2 linked regions of the Pelodiscus sinensis genome follow. The protein of the gene in region 2 interacts with the protein of the main gene of each other region in a biochemical or structural test. Links are inferred from orthologs where the notes say so. Each region holds a gene or a part of one and is shown on either strand. Other genes may lie near its edges.

Region 1 (15,137 bases), on a different chromosome or scaffold from region 2:
AGCCCTGGGCCCTTTGAATCACTCTTGAGCACCTCTGGAGGGCTAGCTGCCCCAGCCCTGTCTCTTCCACCCAAGGGCCCGCCCCTTCCAGGAGCATGGAGCTGGGCCCCCCCCACACAAGTGGTGAACTCCCCAAAACAGAATCCAGCTCTTTGTAATTCTACAGAAAGACTTCCGCTGACTTCAAACATAGCTGAAGGATGAGCATCTTCCCTTGCAGCCTTTCTGCCCTTCCAAACACTGCCCCATTTCTGCGGGTGTACACAACCTCTGGAAGCCCTTTCTAGAGCAAGCAAAACCACTGAGGCTTTTGTAGGCTGTGTGCTGTGCAGCTCAGGTCTCCTGCTCTTCCCCATTTCTCCTGGCATCTGAAGAAGCTTCTGCTAAGCTTGGCTGTTCCTGATCACAGATTGATAGGATGGCAGGTTTAACAGGGCCTCTTACAGTGGGGGTTTCACTCCGACGATCAGCAGGACCCTCAGTGCAATGCGTCTGTGCAAATTCCAGTGTTCCACGGCTACTGCCACAATCAGCCCCCCAACAAACAGCATGTTGGTGTCCTTCAAGTACTGCATACACACCTGCAATGAGAGGTACTGCCTGTCAGTCTCTGATCCACAAATATCAACAGCCATGATACTCAGGTGCAAGTCCTATACATTTTCTCAGTTCCATGCCTCTGTTTGCCTATTTAGATGCTGTGCTGCTGTGGGCAGGGGCTGTCTCTTAGCTGGTTTGCATAGCACCTACTACAATGGGGCCCCTATTGGTTGAGGGCGGTAGAAGCAAACAACAGCATGTACTATAAGAAGTAAAGTCGCTCAGAGTATTGCTTGTATGCTGTCTGATTCTCAAAGATGCCAAGCAGCTCTGAAAATCAGCCCCATAATCCTACCCCTAATAGGTCACCAGCAGTGATTGAACCTTGCACTCTCAGAATCAACACACAGACTTGTATCACTCAAGTTCAAGTAGTAAGCCCATTAGCTGGCAAAAGTAGTAGGCGGTTATCTTTTATTAGTATCAGCATACTCTTTGGCAGCATGTTACATACATCTGCTGCAATAAAAAGCTCATCCCAAGCATCTGAAACCTCCCAAACATAAGCCCTTGATCAACAATAATTTTTACATGATCCCTTAGCTTTTAGAAATCTGAAGTTGGGTGTTTCAGCACCAAAGCACATTCCTCTACCACTGAAACATTAACTCCACATGTGGCAGCAGTAGTAGGCTGTTCTCCTCTATTTGGACCAGCTACTAAGGAAGAATAAAATCCACACTTCGCTGTCCTTTCTGTATAAACACCATATAGCTTGTTTCATATCTTTCTATGCTTGCACAATTTCTCTGTCAAGTTTCTTTGCTGAGGATTGAGGTTGGTATGTGAAAGAGGTTGAGGTGATGGATGTTAAGGTGTGAGATGCCAGGAACACACCTTTTTCCACTATGAAAAGAACCATTTCCTTACAGAAAGCAGTAGTGCTTGTTCTAAAAAGGCAGTGTGTTCAGAGGATGGCACACTCAGTCCACCCAGGAGGCCTGGGTTCTGATCTAGGTTCTACCAGGGACTGTCTGTGTGACCTTGGGCAAGTCACTTCATCTCTCTGTGCTTTGGTTTCCTCATGCATCTTGCGTGGTTAGCATGTAAGTGGCTCAGATCAAGAACTACCACTTACCTGGTGTTTATACTTCACCTAACACAATTCGGTTACCAGATGGTTTAAAAAAATCACACTTGATTTCAGATTGGGGGGCAGACTGGCCGGGAGGTGGTCAGAGGGGGCCGGGTTGGCTGGGGGAGATGGGGGAGGGGAGAACCAGCCGGCGGGAAGCAGGGCTGGCCGGGAGAGGGTTGGGGAGAGTGGGGCTGGCTGGAGGAGATCAGAGCAGGGGGAACTGGCCAGAAGGAAGCAGGGCTGGCTGGGAGGAGGTTGGGGGGAGCAGGGCTGGCTGGGGGGAACTGACCACTGGGAAGCAGGGCTGGCACAGGGGAGGCAGAGCATCGCTGGCCTGGGAGCATGCAGATCCCAGGGTGCTGTCCATCCCGCGCATGGTCCCGGCGGCGCACATGGGCGAGTCTGGCCCCGGGTATTGCTGCCCCCGTCCTCTCTACTGCATAGCTGCATACTGCCTGGCTGGTAGACACGCTCATGCAGTGTGACTGTGTCTATCAGCCAGGTAGTACTCAACTATGTACTGATACTCATGATAATAATAAAAACTTAATTAGAAAATACCAGACATTTATATTTGTTTCCAGGACAGAAAGTTCAAAACCGGACACCATGCAACCCTAAACACAATGGTTCCCTAAATTTGGGAGGTGCCTCTGGGTGCTATTGTAATATATATATATAATAATAATTTGCAGAAAGCCATCAGATGTATGTGGTACATTTAATCTCAGTGGATCCCAAAGTACTTTTACAAACTACAGACAGAGGAATCCATTCACTCACCACATGGTGCAACCACCTCTAGGGTCCAGCACAGTGGCCACTATTAATAGCACACAGCAACACTGCATGACCATGAAGACTAGCAAGTGAACAAGCACCCTACATCCAGTATATATTGATGGGGAAATGTTGATAGGTAGAATAATAAGGAGTGTGAGGCAATCTCTTTTATTGGACCAACTTCTGATAGTGAGCGAGACAAGCTTTCAAGTCACACAGAAGTTGTCCAATAAAAGAGATTGCCTCATCCACCTTGTTTATCCAGTATGCTAGGACCGACACAGCAGCACAGCATACAACAGCTAGAATGTCATTTTACAAACTTGCTGCCAGGATCTGACCCTTAAAGTCTCACTCCAGTTCAAATCTTGTTGGTAAAACCAGGGCAGAGATGAAACCCAATCAGATCCTTAGCTGAACCAGAACTTAGGGTCAGCAGTGCAAAGCACCCAGGGGATTCTGTTCAGTGTTACAGTCATGATGAAAAGCCACACATCACATATGATAGGCACAGACACACCGGTGCATTGGAGTATGCTTGTCTAATCTGGGCTTCTGATGTTTATGCTTAAATCCAAGCTGACCTAGAATCAGTTCTTACCTTTTTAGACTCCAAAATTCCAAACATAGGAAACAATATAGCAGGCAGGAGAGCTGTGACAGCCAAAGGGATGACTTCTGTGCACCAGTAAACTGCCATGAGGATGATAACATAGGCACACTTGGCCTCCTGGAATACAACAAAGGTTTAAGCACAGGGAATCGAGTGTATGGATGAATACACCACATCTCCCTCTATATCCCAGGATATATAAATGTCAGTTCTCTAGTTCCTTAGGAGAAGGGAAAGAACAACACTCCTACTAGAGAGCTATTTTATTCTCCAAGAAACTATTCTTTGATACACAGCTGGTGCAATCTGATAAATTTTAAAGGCAAAAATATACTCTTCAGAGATGGCATCCTGGCCACATTGAAGTCAGTCAATTTTTGCCACAGACTTCAGTGGTATTAAATACCTGCAACTCTCCATTGGAGTTAACTGGATCTAGGCCCATCTCTACAAGAAGCCAAATCCTGAAAGAGACATTTGATCTTTACAGCTCAACCGGTTACTCAGAAAGGAGCCTAAGTGAACATTCATATCAAAGCTTAAAGCCTCGCCCGGAAAACAATGCATAGGCAAATCTAGGGGCATTGTAAATGCACAAAGGCTTCAGGCTAAAAAGTGTAGTATGCGGGAAAACCAGAATTCCCAGAGAAACTGCTAACCTAAATATTCAGCTGCCAATTGGCATTTGATTCAAGCAGGAGATTCCATGCCTAGTAGCCAAGCTGTTTAGAAGCAATTCATGATTTTCGATGGCTCCTCTTGTGGGTACTCATCTTAAGACACTTAAAAGGAGCCTGATTTTCACAGTACAGATAATGGCTTTCTGAACATCAGGTTACTAAGTAAAAATCTTGACAACTGAGGTACCCCAAATCACTAGCAAACACTTGAAAATCTTGGTGTCATCTTTCTTCTGAGTTGGGGCATCAAACTACCTCACTGCAGTTACCATGTTTTCTTAACACGGGAGTTGTCTGGACTAGAAATGCCTAAATATGTCCCGTGAAACAGTTGTTGAGATTTTTATAACCTAGTGATCCTAGGGTTTGTAAATCGAATCCTCTTAGGGGTAGTAGGTATTCATTAACTCACTGTAAACACTATTTTGGCTCTTAGGTGTAAATGCTCGATAGTTCGCAATTTCCTTTGGTTCATACTAACAGTTTATAGAAGGAGTTGGCAACCTGTAGCCCAAGGGCCTCATGCAGACCATCAAGATTCCACATGCGGCCCGTGAGACATTTTGTTTACCTTTGTCCATGAGCAGAGTCGTCAGATTCTGCTGGTTTCCTTCCACACCGTTTTTTCCTACCAGTATTACTAAAGTGACACACACCTAAAGCAAGTGAAGTGAGGTGCATGCTAACGGAACACATGAAGTGAGGTGCATGCTAACTGAACACATGAAGTGAGGTGCATGCTAATTGAACACAACATTGACTGTGAGAGCCATGTGCTCCCGCTGCATGCAGTCAAAGTACCGCTATGTTTCAATCAGCACACACTGTAAATGCTAGGTACATAAGAGCAGTTAGCAAAACTACCCCATCATCTTGGTTAGGAACGTCTTGCGTCTCACTGAGATGAAGGAGGGCCACTCATGAGGCCCAACCACTAGCCGAGGTTGCCCATCTCTGTTTTACAAGGTCTTAAGAATTCTTTTTATTGGCAAAACAAGCAGGCCATAAAATGATATTTTCAAATGTGCCGTAAGGCTTCATTAGCTACTTCGCTTGTCTGCATTTGCATCCCTAGTCCGAACTAGGGAGCAAATGTAGATGTACTCTTACATGCAGCAGGGTATTACTTATTTTTTGCTGACAAGCTCTTCATATGTATAGAAAATATTATTTTTAAGTAATTAGAAATGTTCATCAGTTTAAGAGGGGTTATTTATTGAACATGCTTTGTAATTCTGCTTAAGCTAGAGTATAGGAAAGATATCAAGGGAAGAGACTTACTTAAAATGTCTATGTCTTTATAACGTGATCTGAGGTCTTGCAGCAATAGCTAAGTGTTAGAATTTACATAATGTGATTGCATTTGGCCACTGTGAAAAACAGAAACAGCTCTGAGAGGCTAAAAGAGTGCACAATACAGTAGAGTACAAACATTGGTTATTTAGAACATGAAGTCAATAATTTACTTAAAGTTCAAAAAGACAACAATGCTTATAAATTAACTCTTACAGACATAGTCAATTCAAGCACAGCTCTGTTCAAAAAACTGAAAAACAAGCACTAAGGTTAGAGAATAGTCATGATTAACACTAACAACTATACAATGTTGATTTTGCTTCTTTGAACAGGAGGCAGAAAACATAACATTCTGTCCTCTCAGAGAGCAGTTGTGAAAGTGATCATTGATGGGAATTCCTGTTAAGCAATCCTGCAGTCTCCTGGAAAAATGACACAATGTTTATGCCTCATGCTCAAAAGGTACAAAAAACCTCACTAGACTCTTATTAAATTGTACATTGCTACTCTTGTACATCACAGCCCTATCACAAGCTTTTGTATCGATCCTACAATATTTGTCATCTAGCTAGTGCTTTCAATGGTTAAACCCCATCTATGAAGTCTCCCACCCTACCTCGGTGCAACTCACAGTCATTTCTCTTTCACAGGAGACTGTCAAGTTGACCAAAAGGCAGGGCTGTTATTAGGCAGGTAAACCAGAAGGGATGGCATTTATTGTTGACAAATAAGCCTGAGGTTTTTCTGAAGTTTAAAATATACCACGCATTTTAGGTCAATCAAAAATGACTAGTTGTAACATTATTTTTAGAGCAGGTCCTACAAACTATGCCAGACCATAATATTTGGTGCAAACATGTGTGGCAGACAGAAAAGATAAAAGGCCTGATCCTGGAGTTCTTACACCAGCTTTGCACTGGCATAGTTCCAATGAAATCAAAATACAACAGTGGACAATTGGTGTGCCCTCGTCCTAAATCATCAGGCACAATGTTTTACTTTTTACCTCATCTTCTCATAGGTAATAATCATGGTGTGCATTTATGCAGCTCAGCATGAGAACATCTCAAAACTTTTCACAAATACCAAATGTCATACCACGCTCATGTTATTCCAGTTTTACAGATGGGAAAACTGAGGCATGGAGGCAGCAACACAGCAAATCAGTGTTAAAACCAGGAGAGGAGGATGCTTCTGACAAAAACCTATGTACATGGGCTGAAACTTGAAACAATGTCTTTGTGGACCAACAAACTTGGTATCTAAGGGTGTTTCTAGACTACAGGATTTTTTCGAAAAAAGTGGCCTTTTTTCAAAAAAACTTCCCCTGCATCTAGATTGCTGTCGCATTCTTTCAAAAGTAAATCAAAATAACGCGGCAGTTTTTTCGACCGCAGAAAACCTTGTTTTACGAGGAAGAACGCCTTTTTTCGAAAGTGCTTTTTTGAAAAAAAGCATTAGGTAATGCAAACTGTGCTTTTTCGAAAGAGACCATCTAGACTGCGTGGGTGCTCTCTTTTGAAAAAGCGGCTTGCTTTTTCAAAAGTACTGGTTGTAGGCTAGATGCTCTTTTTTGATAGAGGCTTTTTCGAAAATATCTTTCAAAAAAGCCTCTTTCGAAAGAGGCTTTCAGTCTAGACATAGCTTAAGCTGTAACACTTATAAGATTAAAACAATGGCAAGTTTTGCGTCTGTGGGGTGATCCACATCCTGGCCCTGAGAGATTTCTTATGACCAGTTTGTATTTGCATCCTTTCTACTTCAGGGGCTCCTGTTGTACTGTTTACTGCCTAAGGTATAGCCTGGGACATACATGCCTTTTTTAAGGGTTACCCTGCAAGTGATCCTACCCTGCAAGTGATTACTAACACTGGGCATCCAAAAAAGTGCTGCAGTTCAGGTAGTAAAGGGTTAAAAACCATCAACACTGATTGAGCCAACTACGAGTTATTGAAACAATTCCCCTCTCTAGACTTCTCCGCAGAAGTCCATGCGGTTACCCTTCATAGTTTAGTATCAGAGGGGTAGCAGTGTTAGTCTGAATCCGCATAAACAAGAAGTCCTGTGGCACCTTTATCTGACTTAAGTGCGTCTTTGCCCAGGAAAGCTTATTCTCCAGTAAATCAGTTAGTCTTGCCACAGGACTTCTCCTTCTTCCTGGTTTAGGGAGAGAAAGGATGCCATCACCAGGGACTTGCAGCTGGCAAACCCTATTGCAGCGAGTTGCCCAGAAGGACTGGTTGGGAGTGCAAGGGGCTCCCTGTTGTTCTCCTCGATGGATGCTGGGCGCTGAGAAATGCAGCTCCAGCCGGGCTGTGGTCCTGGCCAGATCCTCCAAGCCTCTGCCAGCCCCGTGGTGCTTGAGGGTCAGGGGCAAGGACCACGCCTCGCTACGACCCCTGGAGAGCCCCCAGCGCTACGCTGCCTGGCTGCAGGGGGGAGCAAGCAGCAGTGGGCAGGAGAACAGCAGAGACACCAGCATCCCTGGTACCGCTGGTGCAATTAAGAAGGATTGGGAGGGGGGGAGTCCCGCAGGGAAACCAGAGGAAGCGGGACTTCGCTAGCACATAAAAGTGACCTTGGCGGGAGCGCCCCCTCCCGCGCCTAGAGATCCGGGACCCCCGGACACAGGCCCCCCCTCCCAGGGAGAGGAGCCCCCAGAGGCGCGTACCTGGGTGGGGATGAGCAGGGGCAGCGCGAGCAGCAGCAGCGGGGTGCCGAAGAGCACGACGCAGGACTTGAACCGCAGCAGGGGTCTCAGGCACGGCGGGGCCATGGCCCGGGGCGCAGCGAGGGGATCCGAGGCGGCGGCGGCGGCAGCTGCAGCGAGTGAGCGGGACCTGGCGACAGAGGGAGGTTTAAATACACCGGCCCGCCCTGCGCCGCGGCCGCGCCCTGCCGCCCGGGGGAGCCCCGGCATCCCCGCCCCCCGACCCCGGGCCACACACCGCCCCCCTCCTCTGACCCCAGAGCCCCTCACCGCCCCCCCCACCCCAGAGCCCCTCACCGCCCCCCTCCTCTGACCCCAGAGCCCCTCACCGCCCCCCTCCTCTGACCCCAGAGCCCCTCACTGCCCCCCCGCCCCCAGAGCCCCTCACCGCCCCCCCAACCCCAGAGCCCCTCACAGCCCCCCTCCTCTGACCCCAGAGCCCCTCACCGCCCCACCGCCCCCAGAGCCCCTCACCGCCCCTCCCGCCCCAGAGCCCCTCACAGCCCCCCTCCTCTGACCCCAGAGCCCCTCACCGGCCCCCCCGCCCCCAGAGCCCCTCACCGCCCCCCTCCTCTGACCCCAGAGCCCCTCACCACCCCCCCGCCCCCAGAGCCCCTCACCGCCCCCCCAACCCCAGAGCCCCTCACCGCCCCCCTCCTCTGACCCCAGAGCCCCTCACCGCCCCCCCCAACCCCAGAGCCCCTCACCGCCCCCTCCTCTGACCCCCAGGCCACTCACCGCCCCTCCCGACCCCAGAGCCCCTCACCGCTCCCCTCCTCTGACCCCAGAGCTCCTCACAGCCCCTCCTCTTCTTACCCCCGGGCCCCTCACAGCCCCCCCTCCTCTGACCCCAAAGCCCGTCACAGCCCCCTGCCCTGCCCCTCCTCTGACCCCCGGGCCACTCACAGCCCCCCTCCTCTGACCCCAGAGCCCCTCACAGTCCCCTGCCCCGCCCCTCCCCTGACCCCCAGGCCACTCACGGCCCCCCTTCTTATCTCTCCACAGCCCCTCACAGCCCCCCTCCTCTAACCCTGGGGCACCTCACAGCCCCTTGCCCCTCCTCTGACCCCCTCCTTGAGCTGCTGACAGCTCCTCCTCACAGCCTCCCCCCCCCCAGCTACTCACAGCTCCCCTCTCCTCATCTTACCTGCCCCCCAGGCTACTCACAGCCCCCCTCCCGCCTTCTGACCCCCCACTCCCTGAACTACTCACAGCCCCCCCCACATCATTCCTTTTACCCCCTGAGCCTCTTACAGCCCTGATACCCCTCCCTTAATTCTTCCACCCCTTGTCTAGACACCCCTCCCCCCCATGCTCCAGCCCAAGGCCACTCGCAGCCTCCCTCCATCCTTCCTCTAATGCCCCCTCCTCAGCCACTCTCAGCACTCACACATCTTTTCTAAGTGCCCTCCCCTGCCACTGGCACTCACGGCACCTTCAATTCCTCTCCCAGAGCCCCCACCTGGGGCCACTCAAAGCCTCCCTGCCCCTCATCTATCCCCCTCCCAGCCCTGGGCCACTCACAACCTCTCCTGCACCTCATATAACTCCCACCCCCCACCAGGTTAACCCACCCCACCCCTGTGAACCGCTCAGTCCCCCCTGCGCCTCATTTCACCATCCTGAGCCCTGTGGGCCACTCTCTGCTCCCCCAATTGCCCATTGTCTAACCTCCTCCAGCCTTGTGGGCTACTCACAGCCCATTGAGGGGTGGCAGAACTTGGTGTTAAATTCCAACATGGCTCCCAGTTACCTCCTTGCCCCATCCAGCACCTTCCTGTGCCCATGGTAGCCCTTGGTGGTGGGGGGTGTCATGCTCTGGAGTGCCCCCCTTTCCTGCCCTGTGGCAATGCCAATGTGTGCAGAAGGAATCATGCTCAGTCCCCAACCTCCATGTGCCCATGGCAGACCTGGGACCTATCCTGAACCAGCCCCCCACCCTATAATAAGCCCCAGCTCTGACAAACAAACCCATCTCCCTTGCTCTGCCCGGGCAGCCACTAGTCCCAAACTCTTGGTGGATGCATTTCTCAGTCTCTGTAAGTGGGGGTGGGGGAGAGGTGGGATACAGGGAAGAGTTCCAAGCTTGCTTGTTGTGAGCTGCGTTGGCTACTTTTTTACTTGTCAGGGCATTCCAAGTTGCTGGCAGCTTGTTGCTTTCTTTGCAGGGGAAAGGGGGAAGTAAGGGAGGGCAAGAGGTTTAAGAGTGAGGGTCAACGGTCCCAGACGGCACACCAGGGATCCAGTCACACAGAGCATTGGCAAGTTTCAGAGGTGTAGCCGTGTTATTCTATTTCAGCAAAACCAACTAATCCTGTGGCACTTTCCAGACTAACCAATTTATTAGGGCATAAGCTTTTGTGGGCTCCTGCCCTAATAAATTGTCTAGTCTTTTAGGTGCCACAGGACACCTTGTTGATAGAGCACTGAGGTTTGTTTTACGGATCAGCTTATTTTGGCCTTCTAAAACAGGATGAGCTTGGCTTTTTGCTTATTGTGAAAGCCCGGGTGCTCATTGACAGCATGAAAGTTGGCAAGTGGCACTTAAATGTCCCCCAGGAGGAATGATCAAATGCAAGCTAGTACAAAGTATTGATCTTCCTAGCATGGCTCTTCCCAATCCCCTCCCCACCACCCTCCTAGCCCCAGCCTCTCCTCCGGCCCCCCTTTCCAGCCATCCCCATCCTCCCCACCTCCTGCAGCCCCTCTGGCCACCCTTTCCAGCCCTCCCCAGCCTCCTCACCTCCTGCAGCCCCTCTGGCCTCCTTTTCCAGCCCTCCCCACCTCCTGCGGCCCCTCTGGCCACCCTTTCCAGCCCTCCCCATCTCCTGCAGCCAGGCAGCACTCACTCCACCTTCTCCTTTCCTCTGCTCCCTCCTTCCACTTGTCCTGCCCTCCCTCACCTTCCCTACAGGGAAGCTGGTAAGGAAGAGCCAGGGCTCTGTTTACTTCCAAGTGCCCCCTTGTGGATGAACAAGAGAAACTCCCTGTGCAATGGTGCTGTCCTCTTGGCCTCAGGCTACTAGCGAGACAAGGTGTGTGAGTTAATATCTTTTCTTGGACCAACATCGGTCAGAGACAAGCTTTCCAGCTTACACTGGGCTCTTCCTCAGGGCAAAACAACACAACAGCTGGTAGAAGAACAGTTATTAGCTCGCCCATTTTGTTTCAATAACAGAAATTCTATCTCTGTAGTTCCACGATTGCCTGTTGAAAATTCTGGCATGCAGTCTGTCCCCCATGTTCGCTGCCTGCAAAAAGGAGCCATGTGGGGCTCCAAGGAGAAGGAGGCTAAGCTAAGCTCTGACAACATGAGACTTGAAACCATGCAAGCAATAATCATATTCACGGTTATTGCTAGTTGGACTGTTTTTAATAAACAGTGTGTCCCAGCCTGTGTTATCTCTACTCTACCTCTGTGTGCATGTTTTATAGCAGTGTTTCTCAACCAGTGGTACAAGTACCCTTAGGGGTACTTGAGAGAAGTCTGGGGGGTACATCAACACAACTGAAATTTGGAGAAAACTGAATTTTTGTTTTAAGTTTTACAGCGCTTTATTATTTTTGTACTTTTTACACCCAAAAATGTCATTTTTTGGAGACCATGCTACCTCCTGCAAGTGATAATGGTGCTTAAATAGACATATTTCCTGTTTGCATGAGCTCTACTCCAGCATGTGCTGAAACACTGCTATGTTGGGGCCAGATCCGTTTAACTTTGAGGGGAGCTGGGCTCAAGTCAAGACGGAGGGCTATGATCCTCCACTGCTTTGCACCTTGGGTAGTAATTGGCACCTGAGCAAAGTGGGCATAAAATGGACATGAGAGAATGGGGGATTCTGGCCTGGTGGCATTTTCCATGCTCCATTCACAGGTGTTAACAGCAAACTAAGGTGCATTGCTGTAGGGGACAAGGACTTGGGGATCTGATCCTGCAAACCCTGATGCCAGGCCAGTGAAGTCACAGGAATGGTTTGCACAGCTCAGGATAAGGGCTGTGTAGATGATTTAAGTACTACTGGCACATTTTGGCCTCCAGGAACAGTCCCAAAAGGAGATGCTTTCCTCTGATGTGCTTGTTAGCATAATGGATACCTATGCAGGAAATGAGAAGCAGGCCACAGCAGCTTCCTTGCATAATATAAGGAGCCCAGAAAAGATTCCGCAAAGGTGGAGAGGCTGGAAAGGGAGATGAAATCAGCTCATACCTGCACTCATGTGTCCAGGCTCCAGCAGCAGATGAAAGTGCCAGCAGCTCTCAAATAAATAACTACAAATAGGTAACTTGTTATAGAAGCAGTGCTTGTTTCTTGTACCTAAGCAACTAATGCAAACACAGTTAATTGGTCTGTGGCTTCAGTGGAGAGGCAGCAATTGTGCACGCCCAGCAAATACAGACTAAAAAGATATCACCAACAATGCTGCAAGGGATACTTTCTAATGGAGCAGCTGAATCAATACAGGGAAAGTCTTGGTTGAAGAAGCTGCTCCCATGAATTCTTCTGACACTGAATCCTGTGTCTCAGTTTCCCCCTCTACTACAAAAGAGGGATGTTAAGGTGTCATTCAAAGCTGTCATCAACATCAGACACTTGTCATCAACATCACTCAGCTGTCATCAGACACTTTTGTGCCTATATTCCATGAAAAAAGAACAAAAAAATATCCCAAGCAATTGAGACTTAGGCACTTCATTGGTTGGCTAATGGAAAATCAGAGCCGAGAGGTAAAAGACAGGCAAAAGGAGACATATGGATAATGGAACAATCCTCTAGTCTACTGTGGTTTGAATAGAAAATGGAGTCATGTGGGTGATGCGTCTTCCAAAGGAGAAGGAAGGCAAGGAATGTTGGAAACACAAAGTTTCCTGCAGTTTGTCTCAGGCAGTTCCAGAGAGGACAAAATTAAGAAGAGAGGGAACAGAGGGTTCCCTGTGGGGAAAAATAGATGAAGAGGAAAAGGGAGAAAAAGAAGATCTGGTAGAGAGAAATCTAGAGAGATGGAACCACCTGAAAAGCTATGACCTTACCATTGCTCGCTCAGAGTTTTATGAAGGGGCTGAATTGCTGCCTGACCGGATACTGCTGAACTAGACAGTTTAGAACCAAAATCCAGACATTGCTGAATTTGGGGGAAGAGAAGGGACAGCTGTAAAATTCAGACCCAGTCTTCCAAAGGCCAGAACAAAAACACAGATCTGCCTTAATACAATTTTAACTGGCAGATGGTACCAGCTTCACAGTATTGCCAGGAGCCAGCCTCACAGGGTATGTCTACACTACAAGTTAGTTCGAACTAACGTCCGTTAGTTTGAACTAACTTTCCTAGGTGCTACACTAGCGCTCCGTTAGTTCGAACTTAATTCGAACTAACGGAGCGCTTAGTTCAAACTAGGTAAACCTCATTTTACGAGGATTAAGCCTAGTTCGAACTAGCTAGTTCGAATTAAGGGTTGTGTAGACCCTTAATTCGAACTAGTGGGAGGCTAAGGCTTCCCAGGTTTCCCTGGTGGCCACTCTGGCCAACACCAGGGAAACTCTATTGCCCCCCTCCCGGCCCCGGAGCCCTTAAAGGGCCACGGGCTGGCTACACAGTTTGTACCAGTTGCAAGGCTGCCAGCACCCGTGCCTGCACAGCCTGCACCTGCCACAACATGAGCCAGCCATCCGAGGGCTCCCAGCCCTCCACTGCTCCCCAGGACCAGCCTGGCGGCTCCCAGGAGCCTGCCCGGGGGCACAAAAGGCGGGCGCCCGCCTGGTCAAGTGCGGAGATCATGGACCTCATCGAGGTTTGGGGGGAAGCCTCCAATGTCCACGATCTCCGCACTAGCCACTGGAACGCGGCCGTCTACGGCCGCATGGCTGCCAGCCTGGCCGCCAGGGGCCACCAGCGCAGCCGGGAGCAGGTCCGCTGCAAAATTAAGGACTTGCGGCAGTCCTACTCCCGGGCCTGCCTGCCAGGGGCCGACCCGGAGGCCTGCCCCCACTTCCATGCCCTGGACTGCATCCTGGGGCCTCATGCCGTCCCTGCCCCCCGGGACGTGATTGACCCCGGGGCAGAGGGACCGCTCCTGGACACGGAGGAGGAGGAAGAGGGCTCTGAGAGCCAGGAGCCTGCCGCCAGCCTGCCCAGGACCCAGGACCCCCGAGGCACGCCACAGAGCCGCTCGCCTGCGTCGTCTGAGGCCGGGGAGGCGTCCACCTGTGAGTACCCTCGTGTTCCTCTTATGTGTACGGGGGGCTGGGGTGAGAGGGAGCCCCGGGACCGTGCGCCTGGGCCTTGCCCACCATGGAGCAGCAGCTGGGGATCCTGCAAGGGCCCTGGCCTTGCAGAGGGGAGCTGGGTTTCACACACCTGGGCCCCTGGGGTAATTGACCGCTGGTCTTCTTGCACCACAGCCGCAGCACCTGGGACTGCAGGGCACACCACCACGCCTGCAGCAGCCGCCCGCGCCCGGGCAAGCAGGACAGCCAGGAACCAGGAGGACTACCAGAGGCGGCATCTCCGGTTCCTGGATCGACAGCTCCGTCTCCAGGACCACTGGGTCCAGGAGGACCTGAGGCTGCGCCGGAGGAGTCTGGAGGCCCTGGAGGAGCAGGGCCGTGCCCTGCGAGGCCACCTCCAGAGCCTGCTGGACCGCTTCCCATTTCCTCCTCCCCCTGCTCCCCCTTTTGCTCCCCCTCTAGCTCCCCCTCTTGTTCCCCCTGCTCCCCCTGCTCCCGCTTCCGCTCCTGCTTCCTCCACACCCCCTGTCCCTCCTGCCCCCCCCCCACAACCATTTCCCACCGACGTCCCCGGACCCGCAGTGTGGCGAGACGGGAGAGGCAACCAGACTCCCACCCCTGAGCTTTCCTTTCCCTTCCTCCCTTCCCTCCCCTTCCCTTCCAGCTCCCTCGTCCCAGGTTTCCCCCTCCCCTCTCCCACCCTCATTCCTCCCTTCCCGCACCCAGTTATGTTAAATAAACAGACGTTTTTGTTTCAAAAACAGGTGTCTTTATTGTACAGTAGATAGGGAGGGGAAAGGGGAAGGGAGGGGTAGGGTGGAAGAAGGCCCCAGTGGGGCATGCAGGGAGAGGTCAGTCCTCCTCCTCCTCCACCAGGAAGCTCTCCCGCAGGGCTTCCTGGATCCGGACGGCCCCCCGCTGGGCTTCCCGGATGGCGGCGGTGCGGGGCTGACCGTAGTGTCCAGCCATGCGGTCAGCCTCAGCCATCCAGGCTGGCAGGAAAGCCTCCCCCTTTCGCTCACACAAATTGTGGAGCACACAACATGCCGCCACCACGGGAGGGACGTTGTGCTCGGCCAGGTCCAGACGGGTGAGGAGGCATCGAAAGCGGGCTTTCAGTCGCCCGAAGGCCCCCTCCACCACGATGCAGGCC
Region 2 (16,001 bases):
AATTTAAGTGACTGGAGCAGCATGCCTACATGCTCCATTGCAGGATTAGGGCCTAGTTAACACCAGTCTCAGAGCATTAAAGTAAATATTGTGCAAACTAAGTGACGAGCTAATGCTCTTGTTTGCTTTCGTTTTCACTTGCTGGCTCACTGGAGCAGCGAGCTGGAATATTTAAAAACAAACTCCCCCTACCCCCAGAGTCAATTAAAACCACTTCCATCTTAAACCTCAGCCTTGTACATTAATTACCCGAGAACACTGCTCTAATGGATCTGAAAAAGGAGTGTTTCATGAGGTATCATCACCTGGTGTTTCGAGGTGGTTCTTTAGTTACAGCTTTAACACGCTCCATTATATAATTCTGGTATTTTGAACAAGAAGCTGCATGACTTCGCATCTTTGAGAGGTACATCTAAGTGAGCAAAAGAGGCAGAGTTAACAAGCAAGGTTATTTTCAATTAAAAATTCAAAAAAGGATGATAAACAAACAGTGGAATCTACAAACCAACTGCTATAGGAAGAAGCTTCATGTTCAGATAAGACTGAAGTAGGAAAAGCCAAATGTTTTGGCCTATGTGGCAAAACAGAACAAGGAGCTATAAACAGAAGCTAAAAGTTAATGAAGCTATAACACTCTTCTGTTAATGGACATTGCATATTGCCTAGCACAGCTCACTCCTTTTTATATATTCCCTTTTGATGCACAAAACTACTGTATCTGCTTTGTACTAAGTCAGTTTTCTAGCTCCTCCTTTCACTATTCCTTGCAACAACAGGATCAAGTGGAAGTAGGTTACTCATCAAGTGACAGACTCTAAAATATACCTCACTGAGTATTATACCAGGGAAGAATAAGAGTGTCAGAGAAATGCAGAGGACAAAGGTACTTTCCTAAATAGAACTTTAGTGATCAAAGTCTAGCTAGTTATGCTGTTCTGGTTAACATATATAACCAGTTTAAACCATAAGCTTCTCTATTAATTCTAATAAGGAAATGGTTTTAAGTGTGGTTTTGTCACCAATGGCACACATCACTTGTGTCATCAAATTAAGGTCAAAGATATTACAAAGGGTGGGATCCACAAAGGTGTTTAGGCACTGAAGTCCCAGTTTTGGCTCTCCTGAAGTACATAAACTACACACCTCTATAGGCACCTACATTTTTCAGAATGAAAGTTCCCCTAACATCTAAGTTTCTGTTTGTGGGCAGGCAGGCAGATGTCCTCTTCTAGGTGTCCAAAACCCATCTCCCACTAAAGCCTCAGACGTGCCCATAATCAAGGAAAAGACAGACCTGCTTTATAACACTTAGCCCTGTGGCTAAAACACTTGCCTGGCATGTGGCAAACCCAGGTGTAACTTCCCCCTTCTGCCAGAGAAGGACAAAGGATTAGCCAGGGCACAGACTTATGGGGTATTCTGATATAGGGCTGCCTCAATCTCTCCTGTTAAAGTTACTGTTATGAGTGATTGGCGCATGGGGACTGGAGCTGGGATCTCCTACCTCACAGGTAGAAGTCCCAACCATTAGATTAGAGGAGTCTCAGTGTGTGTCTCTCTCTCTCTCCCTCCCTCCCTCCCTCCTAGCAGGTGAAGCTTTTTGTTGACTGGGCAAAGTTATTTTGTGTAGATTACACTTTTAGGAAAGATCAAGAAATTAAATACATGTAATAGAAATTTTATTAATATGCTTGCAAAGGGGAAGCAAAATAATATTTTTAAACTGGTAGGATTTCAACTTCAAACATTATTCATTTTTATTGAATAATTATCATACATAGTAAATTTGAATCAGAAATTCATAAAGCTTCCATTACTCTTTCTGAAACTTATTTGAATTATTCTGTGATTTGTAACTGTAAAAATTTTCTTTGCATTAAAGTGACAGTTGAATAGGTAACTTGATTTTAATTTTTTTTATGAACTCTAATCATAATAGTCATGACTTTTTAATAATTATTTTTGTTTATCATCAGAAAAAACAGTGTTGCTCAAAGTGGTCTGCAGACCCACTCTAAGAAAGCTGCTACTGGGCCACAGGCACGGAGTTTCACAGTTCCCCCTTGGCAGCAAACAGCGAACCACAGCCAATGGGAGCGTGACTGCGGAGCTGGTAAGTAAACAAACCAGAATGGCCTGGTAGAATCTCTCTCAAAGTGGGTCTGCAGATCGCTTTGAGAAACACCGATTTACATCCAGCATATTCTGGTGTAAAAAGCACTGCATTCAGCTAATTTAAGTGGCAGGATTGTTTATACAAATTTGGTATCTGTAGGTAATCATGAAGTATGACCTTATTTTGCACAAACAAATCCACAAACAAAAAACTCTTCAAAATATTTAATAGATAGTAGAACATAAGGCCAGAGAGAGAGAGAGAGAGAGAGAGAGAGTGAGAGAGAGAATGAATGACTCAGGTGTTAGTAGGATCTAATCTAACATCAAGGAACAAAAATGAAACCAACCAGAAACAAAAGTGAAACTCATTGAGTTGTTATGCTCTCTCAAGCTACATTAAATACAAAAAGCAGAGCATAAAAATGAGAAACAAAAAAAAGTGCGCGTTATTTAACAGGGAGGGGGCATTTAGTAACGATAATTTTACATGACAATATGTTTTACACGACAATGCCCCTTAAATAGCTTTAAATGATAATTTCCTTAAGGCAAATCTAAGATTAATCTTAATATTTAGATACAGGACTATATTAACTGTAGAAGTTTCACACTATGTGCCATATAACAAAGTAACAAGAGCTGATTAGTGCTTTTTATTTTTATGGCACTTATCACCTGCTGTTACAGTTGTCAATCCTCCAGGATTGCCCTGGAATTGTCAGGAATTAAAGGTTAATCTCTATTAAATATTCTGTCATGTGATGGAACTTCCAGGCATATGTCCAAACTAAAGCAACAATTCTGCCAGGTATCCAATAATTCCTGAACTGCACTGTATACATGAAGGACTAGCAATTCCATTATTTCCCTACCATCAGAAATAAAATTGATTAAAGGATATTGCATACACAATCTTCTTGTGAATTTCACGTCTATAGAAAACACTACCTGTAGACAGCTTTGTCTTAAGATACAAACATAACTTTTAACAGATTATAATATACCTTTATTAGAAAATTATTTCTATTAAGAGACTAGCAGATTGGTTTATTAAGAGAGTTTTCACTATGTTCTGTATTTACAGAACTTATTCCTGAAGAAATAGATGTAACTCAGTACCTACTGCATCATCAGCTTCATGTGAACTGTGTATTTGTACCTGAAATCTACCTATTAATGAAAAAACAGCAGCAACAGGGGAAAGGGTATCATTACCCTATATCATGTGGGGGCAATAATTTTTAATGGGGTGGGAAGTGCGAACTCCAAGAATTTGGTAAGTGATCAAAGGCTGCGCTTTTATTATAGAAGGAAATGTGGAGTCTGAGTCAGAATTTGGATGCAGAAGGGAGTTTGGGGTAGGAGGTTGAGGTGTGAGACAGGGTTATGATATGGGGCAGAAGCTTGGATGCATGGTCTGAGAGGGGGTATGGGTGCAGGAGAGGATTCTGGCCTGGGGAAAGGGTTTAAGAGGGGGTACAATGGCCTGGGAGGGAGTTGTGACCTGGACAGTTGGGGAGAGGGGGCTATAGAGGGTTAAGCTGGTGACCCTATGGCAGGAGGAAGTGGTGGCCTAGGACAGGTAGTTGTGGGGGAAAAAGAGGGGATGGGATGCCAGAGGCAGATTCTGGCTGAGAGGCTCTTACCTAGGTGGCTCCCAAACAGCAGCCCTGCAGAAACTGGAGGCAGGCTGTCTGCTGCTGTCCCAAGCTGGTCAAAACACCTGGATGCTCCATGTGGCTCTACTCCAGCATGGGGAGGGTTCACATGTTGCCCCTGCTCCCAGCAAAATTTCTCAGCTTCTGTTGGCCGAAAACTGGCCAAAGGCAGTTGAGAGATTTTGCTGGGTGATGGACTAGCAGGAGAAGCCTCTATCCTTCCTCACCAGTGTCCAGAGCAGCCAGCCATTTAAAGTGGCATGAGCTGCTCTGTGCCTAAGGGTCCCAGCGAGGCAGCTGAGGGCCAAGTCTGGTGGTTTGGCACTCCAGATCCAGCCTGCAGGCCGCATATTGCCCACCCCTGCCCTATATGCAGTCCGTGCAAATTATTTATCAAAACTAAAGTTCTGATTGTTTATTCCCTAGAAAGCTGATGTGCAAAATAGTGCATTTCCATGTAAGCTGTTTGCCTATTTTAACTATATATGTACTTCCTTTTTTGTTCTTTCATACTTTTTTATTGCAGCCATCACAAGTGGTTTCTGTCATTTCAATTTGCTTTTCCAGGTCCAAATCTCTACTGCCAGGAGAGAGGGAACTGCGGCAGACTCCACAGACTGGCTTAATAGGCTTCAGACATTCCTGCAGGCATGGAGTGCAAAAGCTAATATGGGAGAAATACGATTTGTAAAAATGCATGTTGTAGAATATACGTGTATTGTTCCCATTAAAATAGAGACCTACTCTAAAAGAAAAAAGTCCCAAGTGACAACACCCACTGACAAATAATCTGTTGATACGTGTGTTATACTAAAGGACAGCCAAGTCACTGTAAATCTAGTCAATTTAAAAACAGTTTCAAGTCATGTCCCTGTCCCCGAATGCTCTTACCAATTTGTGGTTTATGCTACATTTCCTCTTTTCAAAGTTTCTCTTCACTGTTTCCAATAGAAAAATCCACACAAACAGCAAAACCCAATGATTACATAGAGAAGCTAACCAAAGTGCTGTCAAACACACAAAATAAACAAACTGAAAAAATATTCTTTTCATTTTTCATTTTTAGTAATCTGAAATATAACCTGTAAAAGTCACCCAACTATTCTCCCTAGATGCATAAAGAGAAAGAAGGGGGCCTTAGCTTGCTCTGCAAAACCCTTTTCTTTAGGCCCCCCCTCCACCCAAGAACTTGAAGGCGATGTACATTGCTCTTTCAATGGTACATTTCACCTGAGAAAAATGTCATGTTAGAAAACATTAACTAGACCATTTTAATGGACTATTGCGACAGCAACATTGTACTGTAGAAAAGGAAAGCAGTGTGATTAACATAAGGCAGGTCTAACCTTAGGGCTTATTTCCTCTTAGAAGCCTCTCCTGTGAATTTTACAGGAAAGGAGGGCATCTTGTCCCAGCAGAGACAGAACTGTACTTAAGTTTCACTTTAGTCACAGCCAAACAGAGAGCTCATTTTGTAAGAAAGCTGTCTACCCCACCCATCTTGTCGGTGTCCCACTCTCAGCCCTTCTATCCACAGCTCAAATCACCCACATTTTATCTAGTGTTTCCATAACACTCACACCACTGCACTGCAGATGAGCCCATATACCTGAAAATAAAAAAGGCCAAGCTTCTTCCTTAGCCCATTCCACACTTCTCCTTCACCAGCACATGCTGCCGTCAATTAAATTGGTTCGCTTTCTATTCCCTCTCTGGTACAGTTTCCCAGAATCGACCGGCTGGGACTCCACCCTTTTCTAGCCATGGGAAATCCCGGCACTCACTGCTATCCATTTGAACAGTCGGATTTTCTACCAGGTGCTCAAAAGTGATCCCTCTAGGGCCCAATCTTTCAGGGCTTGCTCAGGAAAAGCTCCCCCCGCAACGAAATGGCCTGTGGCTTTGAGCCCCAATGGGGCTAACGGGCTCCAGGAGGAGGATTAACAGGTAGCGGGGGAGCGTTTCTCGGGAATCCTACAGCATCAGCAGACCCATTTCTTCGCAAGGGCTCAGGCCCGCTCCCCAGGCTGGGGGGGGGGGGGGTGTGTGGCGGGGGCCCACACGGGAACCGTGCACTAGTGACAACTCCGTCCTGGCGCCTCCAAGTGCCCGCGCCTAGGCCCCACCAGTCGTGCCCCCCGCCCTCTCGCGCGCTCAGAGGGGCCCCCCCCGCCTCAGGGATCCGCCCCAGCCCCGATATCACGGAACCCTCCCGTCCCGCGCTCGGCCCTCCCCGAGGGGTCCGCTCACACATGGCCGCAGGGGGCCCGCATCGGGCTCTCGAACACCTCCAAGCAGACGGGGCAGGTGAAGCGAGACAGCGGGTCCTGGAGCGCCGGGTACCGGGAGCCGCTCTCTACCCCCGCCATCTTCCACCGGCCGCTCGCCCCGCACTTCCGCAAAGCAGCCCGGGCGCCGCGACGGCGGCCCAAAGGGGCTAGTTCTCCGCCACGCCCACTCCGAGTGGGCCACAGGGCGGCGGCCTAATCCGCACGCGCAAGACAGCAACGGCTTCTGGCCACGCCCCCTCGCGGCTCGGACACGCCCCAGGACGGATCGAGTTTCTTCAGCTCCACCCACAGCTGGCCAGGGGCCGTACTGCGCAGGGCAGGTGGGTGGGGCGAGAGCTCGGTAAGGAAATAGGCAGGGAGGAGCCTGAGCAGAGCCAGAGCCACTCAGGATATAGTGGGCAAGTGGAGTGGCCAGGGGACAAAACTGGGCGGGAAGTGACTCAGCTAAGGAACATTTGGGCAGGGAAGTCACCGTGCATGGGCACAGGCAGGCAAGTGCATGGCCAGGCAGGAGAGAAAAGGGCTACAACATGGCATAGATGCAACCAGCCACTGATGGAGTTGCTAAAATTTGCTCCCTCCTTGCCTCTGCCATATATGGAGTGATATGTGCCTTTGGCTACACCTTCCACCTTCAATAATGCAATGTGTGTACAGCTCATGCAGTGTTGATTATAAATTCACTGTCCATTTTGTTCAGCCCCATGGTCCGAGATGTTAAAAATTGCAATTTTCATGATTTCAGCAATTTAAATCTGAAATTTCGTGGTGTTGTAATTGTAGAGGTCTTGGCTCATAAAGGAGTTGGGGGGAGATCACAAAGTTGCGGTGCTACTACGTTTACTTGTGCACTGCTGTTGGCAGTGGCGCTGCCGTTAGCATGGCAGCTACAGTGCTAAGAGCCCAGCTCTGAAAAAGCAGAGCCACCATCAGCAGCAGTGCAGGAGTAAGGATGTCACAAAATGGTGTTGCCACCCTTGGTTCTGCAACACTGCCTGCAGAACTGAAGCCCTCAGTAGTTGCTACTCTCCAGCTTGTCCAGCTCTGAGGGTGGCAGTGCAAGGATGGCATGGTATGAACTGCCACCCTTACTTCTGTGCTGCTGCTGGCGGGGTGCTGCTTTCAGAGTGAGGTGCTCTGAAGGCAGCACAGAAGTAAGGGTGAAAATACCACAACCCTGGTAAAATAACCATACAACTTCTCTCCCACAACTCCCTTTTGAGTCAGAACTCCCAATTGAGAAACACTGCTCTCCCTGGTGAAAACTTTATAGTAGAGGGTAAAAGCAGACAAAAGACCAAATTTCACAGCAGGAGACCAGATTTCACTGTTCATGATACATTTTTCATGGCTGTGAATTTGGTACGTCCCTACTTACTATGGCAGCACTAGGACTTAAGTGGTGCCTTCCCTCCCATGTGACCTTTGGTGGAAAAGTAACTGCAGAGAGGATGGAGCCATGTAGACTCTAGCCAGCAGCCAAAGCAGAGACCTTAGACATTTAACTTCTTTGTTTTGAGTGGCCTTTCTCTGCCTTGTGGAGATTGTCTCCTTGCTGTAATCCTCTCCCTCACAGTCTGTTCACCTCTGCTTTACACCGCCCCTGCCCCCTTATAGGGTTGCCAGATGGTTTCAACAAAAATACCAGACACACTTGACGTTACATCACAATCTACATTACATCTTATTTAGAAAATACTGGACATTTATATTTTCTCAATTTGTTTCCTGAACAGAAAGCTCAAATACTGGACTGTCTGATTCAAAACTAAACACCTGGCAACCCTACCCTCTTACCATCTTCTCCCCGGCCCTGTCGCTCTGCACTTTCCTTTCCATCCGCACTCCACACTCTCCAAAAAAGGTGGCCCTTAAGTGTTTGTTGCCCTCATATTTTTCAACCAACTTGTGTGGTCTACCCCTTCTCCCATCCTGTGTCTGTCTGATCTATTTCCATTGTAAATTCCACACTGCCAGGGACCATTCATTACACTGTATTTATACAGTGCCTTGCCCCATTATTGATTGATCTTTAAATATTACTGTCATATATATGATTAATAATACTAATTAATAATTAGGACTGAGGTACTATATACATGTAAAATTATTATAATTATTATGAGAACACATCTCTGCTGAAACAGCCTGTACTAGAAATGTGTAAATGACACACAAGAGATAGACACTGGAGATGGTTAGAAACTGGGGTTGCACATATAGTCTTTAATTGTATCGGGGTTGCTATATTAAGTGGAGGGAAACGGTGCAGAAGAAGGGGCTTTAGTTTAAATAGTTCACAATATGACTGGTTCAGTGAAAGGAGTTCAGCCCCATCTCTTCATACCATCATCCTGTAATATAGGGAGGTAAACAGATGACAATACACTGGGGATGTAAATTTAAAACAATGCTTTCTCCCGTGGACAGCCAACTGCAGCAGGAGGAGATCAAAGACTGAAACAGAATCTTGACTTTAATACAAGCTAGAAAATACGGACAGAAATATATAGCAATGCTAAAATAGGAATGCTGAGTCTTATGCTTCATAGTTTAAATTCTTCAGTGCAGGACACACCCTGTCATGTCATATACTGACTAAGTTGTGTTATTGGTGAGTTTCATCTTCCTCTGAAATGGCAGGCATTGGGCATTATTTGTCTATCACCTTATGAGTTACAATTTCATCCTGTAAATCCTTTTTCACTGCACAAAAGGGAACATAAGGCTGCTGCACTGCAGTTAAGTGTGAGCAGCAGCTATGTGTGGGTGCAAGTACTAAGCTCTGAGAGCCAGACTGTAAGCCCAGTGAAGTCACTATTTGAACCCAACGGGGTAGGCGGGTGCCAGCCCACCCACTTCTAAAAGCCCCTCCCCCAGCCTTGCAGGAGGGACAACTGGGCCCAGGGCTCAACTAAATACGAGGGACAAATGATGAAAAACAGGGTCAAGTGGTGCGGGTCAAAGGTTTAAAATGAGGGAACCGGATGGGGACACTGCTCCTCAAAGCTGTTTATGGAGCCAGCGGACACTGCCTAGAGGAACTCTGCCTAGATATGTGACACAAGGGTGGAACGGAAGTAGGCCCCACAGTTGCAGAGCACCCCCTCATCCAGCATTCTCCCCCTGGTATTATATATTGCGGCTTTTGCCAGAGCCAGAGGAGGTTGGCAAGGAGGTCTTGTGACTTTGTGGGGCCATGGATGGGGTGCGCATAAATAAAAAGGTGAGGGGAAAAGTGCAGCCAGACCCTCAGCAATAGGTTCTGGAAGAGCTGGAAAAGGGGCTGCAACCTGGTGCATTCCAGATATTCATGCACCAGGTTTCCCCTCACGCCGCAGAAGGGGCAGGCGTCTGGGACGGGGGTGAACTGTGCCAGGTATGCACCCATGCTCATGGCTCCATGGAGGAGCTGCCAGCTGATGTCCTCAATGGGATGTGGGATTAAGGTGGAATAAACACTGGTCCGTCGGGATTCCTTACCTTCAACTGATCTTAAATAATCCTGCCATTTGGTATCGGAGCGGGACACGAGGGTGAGGAAATGCAGTGTGTGGAGCATGAGCGTGTACAGATGGTCTCTGGAAAGGCGGGCCATGAAGGAAAGGCGGGCTGCCAATGAAAAGACACCCATTGACTGGAATGGGCTTTGAATCAAGCCCCAAGTGTAGCCCTGTGGAATGAGCAAGTAATAAGCATCAAGCCGCTTGCATGTCTACCCCATTGCCACAGTGCAGGGTAAAAAGAAGCAATGCTGGGGAAGAATGAGCACATCTGAAGATCTCAAATAGCATCTTTACCACTCTCATGAAATATTTTGTCAAATGACCTTTGAGCTTTAATTTTGCTATTAGGAAGTTACTTGTCAGCCATGCAGAATCACTATCCTTAGTGCAGAACTGGGTTCCCCTGAGTACTCATTACACTTCCATATGCAGCATTTCAGCTGAGAGATACAGGATCAAGTTTTTAAGAAACAGATTGTCTGATCCGGTACAGTAACTCTTTTGTGTTAAGGAGGACTTTTCAGAGGAGTAAAGTTCTGGAAAAGCCTTCAAGGGGAGCAAAAAAACCTAACTGGCTTCAAGACTGAGCTTGATGTTTATGGGGAGAGGGGATGGTACAATGAGACGGTCTACAATGGCATGTAGCTGATCTGCAACTGCAGGAAATATCTCCAATGGCCTGTGATGAGACACGAGATAAGGAGGATTTTGAGTTACTACAGATAATTCTTTCCCATGTGTCTGGCTGGTGGGTGTTGCCTATAGGCTAAGGATCTAACAAGACTGCCATATTTTGGGTCAGGAAGGAATTTCCCCCCAGGTCAGAGTAGCAAAGATGATGGGTTTTTTCTCTTTCTCTACAGCACAGGGCACAGATCACTTGCAAGTTTAAACTAATGTACTGTAAACTCTCTGTAACTTGAAGTCTTTAAATCATGATTTGAGGACTTCAGTAACCCAGTCAGAGGTTGGGATCGATTACAGGAGTGGGTGGGTGAGATTCTGAGGCCTGCAGCATGATGGAGGTCAGATTAAATGATCATGATGGTCCTTCCTAGCCTTAAAGGAGGTGTGAGCAATAAAACAGTGGTGGTTGCCAGGGTTAGCCCTTGGCAGGCTGCTGCTGCTATATCTACCTGCGCCTCCACAGATACCGGCAATCGCACCTCCTGCTGCCCGCGGATGGCCGTTCCCAGCCAGTGGGAGTGGCAGGAAGTGGTGCAGACTAGGACACTGCTTCCTGCAGCTCCCATTGGTTGGGAACAGTAATCTGTGGACAATGGGAGCTGCGATCGCCAGTACCTGTGGAGGCTCAGGTATTTGCCCACCCCTGCCTTAAAATCTATGAGTGACTGAATGGAATAATGATCAATCTTTTCTTTAAAAAAATAAAAAAAGCATCCTTTCCTAACAAGGATGGTGGCAATTTATGTATGGAGCAGTTTGCAGATATTGTCCTAACCCACTGTCCTACTCTGCAGGATTTAAGTAAAACTTTGAATGCTTCACAATTAACTTTTGGTGGGGAGGAAGTTAGAGAGGAGAGTAGTGTGAAATGCAAATCAGGAAGGCAGAAGGAAAAATACAAGAGGAAAACATACTGTATATGTGAAGCCAAATGTTTCCATTCATGTGCCAAGTGCCTTGTCACTTAACTAGCAGAATTAGAAAATCAAAGCTATGGATACACTGCCAGTGACAGAAGGTCTCTGTTCTTTTCTCAGAACTGTGCTCACAACATGCATATTAACTGCACATGCATATCCACGGGTAGGTTTAATCCTGAGTTTAAATTCGGAACCAGCTGCAAAATAAGGACTCATTTGTAAAGGCTTTAATGGGTCAGATTTAAGCCCTTATCATATGGTGCCTGACACTCTGTCTTATAGTTTAGACTTTGCTAACGCTTTGCTTCTGCCTGCAAGTGATACAGGCCTCCTGAAACTGAATTCACTGAGTGCTTTGTCAGATGGAGTCACCTGCCATACATGGAACATAATGCACTGAAGATGCAGAGAAAGAACAACTATGCTTTTGACATTCAGAGTTGGTCTTGGAAAACAATCAGCTTCTAGTCAGCTGTAAAACACATTAGCACTTATCACCAGCAGCCTTAGAACCTAAACATTGTTAGAACAACAAGCCAGGCTTGAGGTAAAATCAGCTCCCTTCAAGCAGAATGTAAAGGAAATGGAGTTTGTTAGTTTCAGACTGATCTTAAGTGGAACAAAAGGTAAATGATCCTGTTACTAAAAACAAACAAATACTTTAAAAAATAGCTAAAGCAACAGAATGTAAGTAACCGTGAGCAGGCAGAATCTGCCTGGTTTTTGACATAGCCTCAAGGATGCAGGTTGTCCACATTTTAATCATTATGTTATTACTAGCATATGATTTGGGTGTTTTCTAGTAACAAACCGTCATGCTATTTTCCTCTTCATTTATCATCATGGCTGTTCTGGCTATATAAGAAATATTGACCTTTTTAGAAAAGGATAATGCTGTTGTTATTCTGTGGCTTTCAAAGCAATTTATAAAATAATTGTCTCATGATTTGTCAATAGATTTCATTGTTGTGAATGAGTAGCCACATTCTGCATTATTTTAAAGGATTTTTTTTTTTGCTGTAATTATGATGTAACACATTTCTCCTCTAGAAAGTGAGGAAATTGAGCTGCTGGAATTGACCTTAATATCTTTCAAATGAGATGTAAGACCAAGGCTGTGACTCTTTCGCACATTTCAAAATCCCATTTAATCCCAAGAATAAGCAGGACTAGTGACCCAATGACCCTGTCAAAGCTTTCCTTCCTCCCACTTTAGTGCAGCATCCTGTTGCCTCCCCACATGTGATTGTTTTTTAGAGGTTCTGCTGGATTGCTATGCGTGTCCCAAGAAATAGTCCATGCTATGTTGCCAACTCTTGTTGTTTTATCACAAATCTTACAATATTTAATGTTTTTTTCCTTAGGCCTCAGTTCCTGTGTTCTTGTAACTGCATGAACATTTCAATTTTCATTTAAAAGCGTGTTTCTAGCTCAAAGTTTTAGAAAAACGTGGAAAATGTGAACCTTTATGAGCTTTTAAGCTCAAAAATAAAAATAAAAATAAATTATGCACGCCCAACTCTTGTTTGCAAGTCTCATGGTTTGGGGTTCTGAATGATGCTGTTTGAATACATCACATTGGTAATGCATTAGAAATTTTGGAATCAGACTGACTAAAGCTCATCCTCTTCTCTGGCTCTCTGTGGAACAAAGGTGATGAAGTAAACACTAAAGCAGGTCAAAACTTGAAAACAGTGTTTTTTCCATTTCTGATCATTTTCTGACAGTTAAATCATTTGCAGGTGGGTGGCCAGGTCAGGATCGGAAACAGCATTTATTTTTCAAGATGGATTCTGTGGGGTGGCAGCTTTGTCCTGTTCCGAGGCATTGGTTGCAAAGGAGTTTATCAGTCACTGAGGCCTGGTGTACACTACACAGTTAGGTTAATGTAAAGCAGCTTACATCAACCTAATTCTGTAAGTTTCTATATTACCATTTTGCTCCCACTGATTTAAATTGTCTACTACACCAACTTAATAATTCTACCTCCATGAAAAGCTCAATTTAGGTAGATATAGATATGATGCAATATCCGTGTAGACACTATGTTGTTTACATCACATTGGCTGTCCATCCCGTGTAGGCTGATAGCTGGAGCGCACCTCCCCTCCCCATTATGGGGCAGAGCAGGGAGCAAGAGTCAAAATGTGAAATAGGAGTCCCCATGTAACTTACAAGAATGTCCTGGAGCTGGGAGCCTAGCAGTACCAAAAATCTCACCTGCAGATGAGGTTTCCAGGGCTGCTGCCACTGTGGTGTGAAGAGTTTGTCAGCCTCCATAATCCTGGCTCCAACTGGGCACTTGCAGGCTGGCTGCAGTATTGAGGGCATCTACCAACTCCAGCTGTGAGCTCCACACCAGACCGATTGCTCTGCCTGCTACCTCTACAGTGGGTGAGTGGGATCTCCAGCTGGCAGTGCTCCCACAATGCCCCACTTTACTCATTGGAAGTACTCCTGGTAGGGATGCACACCACTGACGAAGGAGCATAGTGCGATGTGAAACATCATTTTAATTACAGTTATGGCTGTACATCAGCATAAAGTTGACTTAATTTTATAGGGCAGACAAGCCCTTAGCTAGTGCCAGAAAAGCTGATCCATCTTCTCCCTCACCTAACAAGGCTCTAGCTCTGTGGTGTCCAACCAGTTCTTATAGCAAACTGGTCACACTCGGCCAGTCAAATAGCCACATTGTTCCAGCCAACTAGTCACACTCAACCAGCCAAATAGCCACATGTGGATAGTGTGTTAGACACCGGGGCTCTAGATGAAGTACCTGGGACTCTCATTCAAGCAGGGCTGGTGCAACCAGGCACATCCCAGGACTATCAGCACCTGCTGCCAGAGCTGCCCTGTTGTGAAAAGCCCAGTTTTATCCAGCAGGCCACTTACAGCCTGGGCCCTTGCTGGACAGGAGTAGTCAAGCTACAGGTGGCCTTGCAGGTCTATAGGAAGAGCCCTTATGGTAAGAGGCCAGGTAAAGAAAAAAAAACCTGAGGAAGATACTCTAGCCCTTTAAATCCTTCTCTATGACATCACACGTGAAGTGACGTCCCCAAAGAAGCGCATGCGCAATGACTACGGACCTCAGTAGTACGTCACTTCCTCCGCCTAAACTGATTTGCTGCCCGTGGTGGCTGCCACTGTTTCGCTTTTATTGGAGCCAGGAGCATGCGGTTGCCTCGCTGGGGGGGAAGGGACAAGAGAGAGGGACGGAGGGCTGCCTTACAAGCTACAGCAGTGTTTCCCGAGAGCACCGCGCATGCGCCAAAGCCCTTCCGGGTCCTTGTGCTTCCCCTCTCGCTCCCACAGGGGTCACTTCCGGCTGCTTGAGGGAGGGCGGGGGTCTGTATCCGGGTCACCGGCGGCTTCCTGCAGGCGGGCGGCTGGCCGCGGGGCGCGCTACGGCTTCCCCTCGTTGCGAGCTGTGAGTGGGGAGGCCCCAGCGGGGGAGAGTTCCGGGTGCGGGGTGGGTCCCGCGGGTGCCTCCTGGTCGTAAGCCCTGCGGGTCCTTGTCGGGCCCCTCTCCGCCCGGCTCTCGTGCGCCTGCCGGTGCGGGGTGCCCGGCCTGCCCCGCTGCGGGCCCTGGGTTCGCTTTCCCTGGCTGGGGGAGGTTTGGGTAGCCCCGCCGAGCACAGGTGCGGAAGGGCCAGAGAGATCTCGGGCTCACATTGGCGTCCCCCGGCCCCTGGTAATGTACTCGGAGACTTCCTCCTCTTGGGGGGGGGGGGGCCGCTAGGCTGGGAGGAGATGCCTCTAAGGGTGCAAAATCTCAGCCCAGGGAATGATGCTGGAGCAGGTATGTCCCGTGTTGGGCAGGAGGTCAGACTAGGTGATCCCGGTGGTCCCTTCTGGCCACTGTGTGGCCTATGCAGAGAAGGATGGTCCATTGACTGTCCAATCCACAGCAAGTTTTGCATAGGGTCCTACGGGTGTAGTTACATTGCAGAAACAAATACCTGCCCTCCAGCTGTCTCTGGCCTATGCTGGGGCGCTAATGATAGTCATTTAGCTAGCTGCCCCTGCCGCTCTGAAATCATGGGAGTAGGAGAGAAACTTCAGAGTTTGAGTTCCAGATCAGTTAGGAACATTTGCATTGTTCCTTTTAGTCCCAGTTGACCCAAGCTATGAGGCTTCATGATGTGGTTGGTCAGGGTTGGCTTTTGTTTTCCTTCAGTGTAAATGGACTCTGAAGTTAGAGAGAGGATGGGAGCTCGTGCAGGTAACTGATGGACAGCAGTGATTTATAATAAAGTGTCTTGACTTTGTACCAGACACAGGAAGGTTCTGAGGCTGAATTAGCAGCAAAGTTGACTGACAAGTAGCACTGGAAGAATATTCCAGGAGAATGGTCTCTTTGAAAATGTAGAATTGTCAACATGTTAAAGGCAGTGCCAAGGAGAGAACCTAGCTTTTCTCAAACAGTATACCATGGAAACCAGATTGAGAAGGTTGCCAGGTTAGAGCAAGCTTTCACTGTATTAGGTATGGGTTTAGGCTTTCACTATATTACCTATAGGCTCTCAAACAGATTGAAAAGGGAATACCAGAGTAAGTTATTTTATAGGTTCAGATGAATTTTTTAAAATCTGCATGCTTGATGAGACCCTGGTGTGTGAGCCTCTCTAGCCCAAATTGTTATTCATAGAATCATAGAATCATAGAATAATAGGACTGGAAGGGACCTCGAGAGGTCATCGAGTCCAGCCCCCCGCCCTCAAGGCAGGATCAAGCTCCGTCTACACCATCCCTGACAGATGTCTATCTAACCTGTTCTTAAATATCTCCAGAGAGGGAGATTCCACCACCTCCCTTGGC

What was found.
Region 1: the proteins of RNF114 (region 2) and XAF1 form a complex in vitro, tested with the Homo sapiens proteins (2 studies listed by BioGRID). The link is inferred for Pelodiscus sinensis from reciprocal best matches to the Homo sapiens genes RNF114 and XAF1.

Annotation. Positions count from the first base shown.
Region 1 is NC_134731.1:14,574,860-14,589,996, forward strand, and holds the start of XAF1 (XIAP-associated factor 1), read left to right. Parts: upstream 1-7,826; 5' UTR 7,827-7,879; intron 7,880-13,617; coding exon of another isoform or gene 13,618-13,963; intron 13,964-14,158; coding exon of another isoform or gene 14,159-14,772; intron 14,773-15,137. Other genes in the region: Na(+)/citrate cotransporter, read right to left, coding at 445-581, 3,063-3,191, 7,722-7,826; uncharacterized protein LOC142819268, read left to right, coding at 13,618-13,963, 14,159-14,772. UniProt on the Homo sapiens protein: Seems to function as a negative regulator of members of the IAP (inhibitor of apoptosis protein) family. Inhibits anti-caspase activity of BIRC4. Induces cleavage and inactivation of BIRC4 independent of caspase activation.
Region 2 is NC_134728.1:19,612,283-19,628,283, forward strand, and holds the start of RNF114 (E3 ubiquitin-protein ligase RNF114), read right to left. Parts: upstream 6,249-16,001; 5' UTR 6,146-6,248; coding exon 6,027-6,145; intron 4,784-6,026; coding exon of another isoform or gene 4,668-4,783; intron 4,441-4,667; coding exon 4,290-4,440; intron 413-4,289; coding exon 306-412; intron 1-305. UniProt on the Homo sapiens protein: E3 ubiquitin-protein ligase that promotes the ubiquitination of various substrates. In turn, participates in the regulation of many biological processes including cell cycle, apoptosis, osteoclastogenesis as well as innate or adaptive immunity.